2 linked regions of the Daphnia pulex genome follow. The protein of the gene in region 1 binds, or shares a complex with, the protein of each later gene. Links are inferred from orthologs where the notes say so. Each region holds a gene or a part of one and is shown in the gene's direction. Other genes may lie near its edges.

Region 1 (3,662 bases):
CCAACTAATACGATTACCTCCAAATAAGAAACGATATCATCGATGTTGTCAATCACTTGGTCTCCATCTTCAAGGGACGGAACACGGCGCAATCCGCGTTGATGAAAAATTTCTTTGGAAAAAAGTTATACATTTATTTTTAGTCCATAAAAGTTTATGCGAATTTATCCCAACTACGGATCGTGTACCTGGTGGTTTAGCTAAATTTACGGTGACGGATCTGAAGTGGAAGGGATGCTGTAGAGATTTCGTCAATACTACCATGAAGGCTCTCTGTAATAATTGTAATAAAATCTTGTTAACGTAATCCAGATCCCCATTTAACTAAGAAATCAACGAACCTGACAAAATGGACAGGCTCCGTAGCGCTTTCCGTCTGCTCCCGCCTTGACGTACAACACCTAGCAACAAAAAATGACGTCATCGGAAAATAAAAAATGAAGCAAACTGGTAAAAACAGAACCCTTACCATCATTTGTTGTGAACTTTGAACATCTAAACTCATTTTTTCCGCTGCGCTCAAAATTTCAGATTTATTTACAAGGGAAGTCACTCTTGTATTTACCAAGTACGCAGACGTAAAGCACCCGTAAGGAAATATGAAATAGTCTGGCAGCTGCTGTACAGCCGCGATGAGAAACTCACACTTCTAAAACCCGAATAAGCCAAAATTTAACCAACAGTCTCCAGCAGGTTTATTTTTGGCCGCCCTAAACATGCACACTAACTAAATGAACCGTTTTCTAATATCAGCAGTCAGCACAATGTCGAAGTAGAACCAATAAAGAAGCAAAGATACGGGTGTTGAAGCTTGCGACACTGTCTGAAATTCGCAGTGGTGAACACAAGAAGAATGCTCGGCACCAAAAACACGAGACTAAAGGCTCTATCTGCCCATATACTAGCAGCTAACCGACGCTCAACATGAAATAAGCCCGAGGGACCACAACAAATGCTGTTTCCCAGTTCTTTTTTTATCTAAAAACTTTCACTCACTTCTCTTCCTAACCATCCATCCCCCCTCTCTCTTTTGCCATCCGCAACCCGCAAGTCTTTTTTCGGCTTTCAAGTCGGAATTGTTTTTTCACATGCTGTCATTTGTGCTGGTTTGACTCGACCTTTTTCATGTTATTGTTTATTGTACTTTTTTTGCTTTCAACCCACAGCCGAAATATGTGAATAATTAGTTCATCCGTTGAGGGGGGGGGGATGGGGTGCGGAAGGCGGAATTGACTGGTAAAGTGCGAGATTGAGGTGCGGATTCTCCGCACTTTACTTATTCTCCCCATCCGGACACTTTTGTAAAAGTTTGAATTTTTTAAAGAATTAATTATAGTATTTCTGACCTGATCTAAAGCAACCAAACCTAACCAGCTCTGTTTTAACTATTATCGCACAATCAAAAGTGACAATGTTGCTAAACTTACTAAACACAGCTTACTACAACATTAAGTCACATTATAAAATGAAACTAAAGTTATTTGTACTGCTGAATAGTGAATACGATTAATTTTTATTTTTGCGCCCTAGTAGTTTTGAACTATTTGAAATGCATTCCCCATTCCCATTGTTTCTGTTTCCGCGCAACCATATTTTAGAAGCTCCGAATAAGTTGCGCGGACTGCTTACAGACTACAGTGAATCTCATTCTTCTATACAATATACCTTGGCTATGCTATCAGACGTTGTAGTAGGTTATTAAAGAAGATCTTTTGGTAAATACAGCTTACATTTTATCATTTTTTTCCGCAAATGTAAGAATAACTGTCTCATTTCTGGTTCAATAGTCATTTATGCGAAAATTGTGGTGCCGAATATGACGACTGACACTAAACCTACCAGTTTCAACCCCCTTGAACAGTTTGTACTGTTAGCAAAGTCGGCTAAAGGGGCTGCAGCTGTTGAATTAGTAAAGCAGGCTTTAGAAGCTCCTGGCGTTTATGTGTTTGGTGAACTACTCGACATGCCCAATATTACAGAGGTGAATTTTTTTTATGTTTAATCGATGAAATTTTCTCATTTATGCATATTTTTTTCTAGCTTCAAACTGATCAATTTCAACCTTACTACAATTTGCTGAAATTATTTGCCTTTGGAACATACAGACAATATCTTGAAAACAGTAGTTCATTGCCCGAGCTAACACCATTTCAGCAGCAGAAACTGAGACACTTAACAATTGTGACATTATCTGAAACCAACAAAGTGAGTATTGCTATCATTGTTGCATGCAGTCATCAATGGCATCTTAAGTTAAAGTTCACAGCTACTGTAGTTTGTTTTTATTAATTGTTGTTTCAATTTTAGTGCATTCCATATGAAGTGTTGGTCCAACAACTTGATATGAAGAATCTCAGAGAACTTGAAGATCTTGTCATTGAAGCCATCTATGGAGGTTTGCCACCAAAATTATTAATTAATACATCTTGATTTTATCATCAACAATTATTCTTTCAGACGTTATTCATGGGAAATTAGACCAGCGTAACGGTCGTTTGGAAGTTGATTTTGCAATTGGTCGAGATGCTCAAGTCAAAGACATTGGCCGAATCATTCAAACTTTGAACGATTGGTGTGAAGCATGTGATGCAATTCTCGGAGCCGTTGAAACCCAAGTCATGAATGCAAATTGTGAAAAGGAAAAGCATATCAAGCATCGTGTCGCTATCGAGGAGGAAGTTTTGAATATTAAAAAAACCTTGAAATCCCAAGTATATCTAGCACTACAATTATTTGAAATTCTTAAAACTAAATCTGAATGCTTGAAACTTGACAGATCCAGGAAAGCGATGATATATCTCTTACTGGTGAAACGCGCAATGAAATGTTAGGTGACAAAGGTAAGAAGCTTGCCAAGGGAAAAGGATTGAAGACCAATGTTCCAAATAAGTTTTGGAATAAATCCTGAAAATTTGTAATTACTCCTTAATGTTTGTATTCACTTATCCCTGAAAGCATTGGACTTGATTCACCCATGGTATTGTTGTCTCAAAGAGTGTTCGCAATGAAATAAATAAAGAAAATTTCTTTAACTGCACTTGCTGACGAGCATTGATATTCATCATCCGCCAAGGCCAATGTCTATTTCTAGGAACTCGGAACTTGGCGGTTTTTCTTGTTCAAATTTTAGGTAGCTGTACAAGCATTTTAAATGCAGTAAAGAGATTCAGTCATGAAACCAAATAACAGTTGTGTACATATCTTCACGCTATTTTCAAATGGAAAACAAAAAAGCTTGGATTGCGCAACAATTTCGTCACAGTATTTTCATTTGTTCCAGACGCTGACTTTGAGCTTTGAAGTACCGTTCTGCCATGTAGGTAACTTTCTCGATGTATGTAATCCCTTTTGTGATCTCTTCCCCTATTCTGATGACCAGCAGACTTTTCTCTTCTAACCCTGTGATGTCACATGCTTTTTGGCTTAGAGTAGCGCAATTCACGCACGCATCGTTGAACGCAATCAATTTAGATGCGCTACCTACTATTCGTACTACTGGATGAGTACGGTAGAGGGCTCTCTCAGTTTTTAGATTTGTATTGCCGCTGTAGTCCCGAAGCACACGAAGGGTGCGTCCGTTTTGTAATCATCGAGTCATTTGATCACGTGATCTGTACAACAACCAGTTACCAACGAGATTTTTATTTCAGTAAGTTATCAAA
Region 2 (4,119 bases), on another chromosome or scaffold:
CCATCATAATCATATTCATTCTGCTGTTTCTGCTCTTCTTCCGTTAACGGAACAGGTTCAGAACGCAAAATAAAGTAATTTATACTGGTTCTTCTTAACCAAATTGTGAAAGCGCCTTCAACGTAGACGGTTTGCTTTTCTTTGAGTTTGGCTAAAAGGTCTCTTTGATTGGCGCTTTGACCATTGACGATCCAAGTATCGTCAATGGCGTCTTGCAACTCACTAGTCTGAAAAATGTTCATCTCTGTAGCTGGATCAACACTACCCATTCTCTGGACAGCAAGTTTTGCTATTTCAAGATTTGAGTTAGGAATCTTTTGGGGGAGTGCCCATGGAGATTGGTTTTTAAACTTAGGCATCCAATAAGCCATCCTTCTAAGTTTTTTGGTGGGAGCTCCATGGCGACCAAAAATATTAAGAACCATTTGGTCAGTTTCTTTATCTGGACAAACACCTAAAAATGAAATAAAAACACATAAAATAATTTAAACTGATTTGAGGCAAAGATATTCTAACCATTGTTTTCCATCTGTTCCAGAACATCTATTATACATTGCTGTTGTTTTGGATAATGCATAAATTCTGCTTGAAACATATTTGTTGGAATATATTTTCCCTTTGGTAATATATCAATGATGTCTTTATATGCTTCCAGGTCACGATGCACACCAAATTCTTCCATTTCCTTCAGAGCAGCATAGATGAATTCCACTTGTGCCCTACGGGGCCCTGGTCTTGTTGTGTAAATTTTTACAGCTTCTAAGAATGTGTCTTTATTTCTATCTCCTTCTGGAACATAAAACATAGAAGGTCTAACAATCAGTTCGTTGGGTTCTTTATTTTTAAAATGAAGACTATTTATATGAATGTGACGGATCTGTAAGCATGGCAGTAGCTTGCAATTATGAACTTGAGGTAAGGCTCTTTGGAGAATTCGATTCAAACTTAAACCAAATTTTACTGCCATTATAATACTAATGGCTATTCAAAGCAGGAAAATAATCAACAAAATTCGAACTATTTGTAAAAATACCAGAAATACATAGAATTGTCACAACAAATTCAAGAGTAGGCGAAAATGGGATTTGTTATTGTTTTTTTCCTCTTTCAACTTTTAACGTCTGCTAAAATTTCAACTTCATTGATGATAGATGGCAGGGATTCATAAAAAAAGTTTCTTATTTGATTAAAAACTTGATTACTTTCGATTATTCATCATCAAATTAGAATAAAATTAAATCGCGGTTATTTCGCTTATAATTATGTTCATTTTGTTTTTAAATTATTCAGTAAAAGTGTTTGTGTGATCCTGCCGCCACCCGCCAGTGGTGCTACTTGCATCTACGAATATACCCTCTATTGGCGCGTTTATCAACGAATAAAGACAACTGCAGACGACGTTTGCTGGCTCATCCAAATATTTCTCTCTTCAATTCAATATCTTTCAATCTAATATTCTTCAAATTTGAATATGGCGTCATCCCTAGAACATTTTGTAAATTCTGTTCGTAATCTCTCTGGCGAAGGTTTGTTTTGAACGACAGTTGTATTTCATAATTTGTGGACACTAAAAATATTCAATTTTCTATGTATCAAACTGATAGGAAGCTGGCGAGAACTATATGATTTTCTCGGCAAGTCGCCCGACGTACTCATGAGGAATTCCGAACATTTAGACACTGTTCTGGATACTCTTGACCCACAACTTCACAGTCTAGGTGTTTTGGCAATTTACATGGTAAAGTTCATGATTCTCAACCAAAATGCAGCTCAAAATCAAGGAATTCAAGTTCCAGAACCCGAAGTGCTCATCAGTCAAGTCAGTCAGTTCATCACAGTTTGCAATGGTGAACAAATTCGCTGTGCTCCTGACTCATGTAAGCTTCTAATATTGCACTCTTACAATTGAATAATTCATAATAAATTGTTCTGTGCAGTCGCTGAGCTGTGTAACCAGTTTACCCAATGCCTAGTGGAACGAGAGACACCTGCCAGGGGTATTGTTCCCCTTACCAAAGCTATTCGGAAAGCCAGAATGAATGAAACACAGCTGACGTCTATCCACGCTAGCCTTCTCCAACTCTGTTTGATGGCACAGAATTTAAAACCTGCCTTGGAGTTTTTGAATGTTGAGATTTCTGAAATCAATTCAGAGGTAAATTGCTTTTTCAGGTTCTAGTGCACTGATTACAGAAAATTCTAATGACAAATGTGTTTGTAGAATGGATATTTTGATGCCAAGCATTTCTTGCTCTACTACTACTATGGGGGAGTTATCAACATGGCTGTCAAAAACTTTGAGCGAGCCCTGTATTCATTCGAAGTAGCTTTGACGACACCATCTTCAGCCGTATCTCACATCATGCTGGAATCGTACAAAAAGTACATTCTCGTCTCACTCATTCTTCATGGAAAGGTATGGATCAAATAGTCGCGCAATGTTCGTTCAATTTCCGATTCACATTGTCATTTGAAACGAGACTAGGTGGCACCTCTTCCCAAATACACATCTCAAGTGGTTAATCGGCTCCTGAAACCCATGAGCGCCATCTACCACGAAATCACGACGGTATTTGCTACCAACAAGCCGACGTCACTGGAACTTGTCCTCCAAAAGCACCGAGAATTGTTACAGCGTGAAAATAACTGGGGTCTGGCCAAACAAGTACAACAATCGCTCTACAAGAAGATTATTCAGCGACTGACTCAGACTTTTCTGACGCTTTCGCTCAGCGATATGGCCCTGCGAGTTCAGTTGCCCAGCGTGATGGAAGCGGAAAAACTCGTCTTGACCATGGTATTTGCTTTCAAGATGCTAAAAGATGACGATCAAACTATGTGTTTGTTTTCTTCTTCAAAAGATTGAAGATGGGGATATTTACGCCAGCATTAGCCAGAAAGACGGGATGGTATTGTTTCACGACAATCCGGACAAATACGACAGCACTTCAACTGTTGAGCGCGTTCAGAAAGAGGTATTTCGATAGTAGCCGGCAGAAATGTGTACCAGATAATTGACCTCATGGCTACTCGTTTGGGTAGGTCAACATTTGCATCGAGCTGGACATGCAGGTGCAGAAGATGGAGGAAGCCATCTGCACGAACCCGGTTTTCGTGAAGAAGGCGTCAGGTGCCATGGAAGAGGACGATGGAGGGAGGAGTTCAGCTTCGTCAGCCCTTCAGGCCGGTGCGGCAACCAAAGTTCCCTCCTTCTCCATGTGATCACCTATGATGCTCTTTAAAACACCAACTAATCCATAACGTCTCGATAAAATAATTACTTTCACATTTTTTTGTTAAATAACTAAGTGAGGATTCATACACGGATTAAAAACAAAAATTTAGTTTTTTTTTTTCAAAAATTGTATTGATAAACATCACACATAAAACTGTACACGATTTCCAACACACATAAATTCCAAAGTCAGACAGTCTGTCTATGCATCTAGTCGAGGCCATCCACAAAATCAGCTTTCACAATGATCTCAGAAATTCAAACAATATCTGGCAGATCACTGAGAAAACTAGTCTCGAGGTTTAAAAGCCGAAAATTCACACTGTCGGTAGAGCAACACACCCACACATGGCCGAAGCCGACTGGATACTGTTTGCTTGGTCCAACGGCGGATGAATGGAGAGCCCCAACTTCGAGGAGTGTCTACCACCAAGAGATAGAGGGCGCGCGCGCATTGATGTGATAAGATTAAAAACGAAAAACGCCAAACTGTTTGGAGGCAGGCGGAGATGTGTGTCTGCTAAGTGGCCTAGTAGACGAATAAGTAGGAGAAAGGTTGTAAATAAAGGAAGGACATTAAAAGAGAAAAGATGTGCGCATTCCAATGAACTTTGTCTGTCCCACATTGGTGACCGGTAAAAATGCAGACGGGAAAAATACAAAAAGGAGGCTGTGTGAGCCTGCTCTCTCTTTCTCTGCGCTTCGAGAAAGTCCGCATAAGGTGCACACAAACCAGTTTATGACGGAAAGGGAAGCCTACAATACCCAGCAGAAGATAATGAAAGAACGATATTTTAAGAGCGCCGTATTTATGCAACGGCAGTTGTTCAACAACAGATATATACAAGGTGTTGAGGGGAGGGAGGGGAGAGACTCGACAACGT

The links.
Region 2: COP9 signalosome complex subunit 7b-like (region 1) and COP9 signalosome complex subunit 3-like share a complex: the UniProt entries of both Drosophila melanogaster proteins name them as parts of the CSN complex. The link is inferred for Daphnia pulex from reciprocal best matches to the Drosophila melanogaster genes CSN7 and CSN3.

The regions. Positions count from the first base shown.
Region 1 is NC_060017.1:4,235,269-4,238,930, forward strand, and holds COP9 signalosome complex subunit 7b-like, read left to right. Parts: upstream 1-1,428; 5' UTR 1,429-1,715; intron 1,716-1,787; 5' UTR 1,788-1,816; coding exon 1,817-1,981; intron 1,982-2,040; coding exon 2,041-2,205; intron 2,206-2,307; coding exon 2,308-2,395; intron 2,396-2,457; coding exon 2,458-2,711; intron 2,712-2,776; coding exon 2,777-2,908; 3' UTR 2,909-3,037; downstream 3,038-3,662. Other genes in the region: chloride intracellular channel exl-1-like, read right to left, coding at 18-112, 189-273, 342-401, 470-505. UniProt on the Drosophila melanogaster protein: Component of the COP9 signalosome complex (CSN), a complex involved in various cellular and developmental processes.
Region 2 is NC_060018.1:6,888,522-6,892,640, forward strand, and holds COP9 signalosome complex subunit 3-like, read left to right. Parts: upstream 1-1,366; 5' UTR 1,367-1,471; coding exon 1,472-1,526; intron 1,527-1,604; coding exon 1,605-1,877; intron 1,878-1,937; coding exon 1,938-2,155; intron 2,156-2,221; coding exon 2,222-2,416; intron 2,417-2,485; coding exon 2,486-2,797; intron 2,798-2,861; coding exon 2,862-2,975; intron 2,976-3,042; coding exon 3,043-3,222; 3' UTR 3,223-3,340; downstream 3,341-4,119. Other genes in the region: evolutionarily conserved signaling intermediate in Toll pathway, mitochondrial-like, read right to left, coding at 2-454, 517-967. UniProt on the Drosophila melanogaster protein: Component of the COP9 signalosome complex (CSN), a complex involved in various cellular and developmental processes.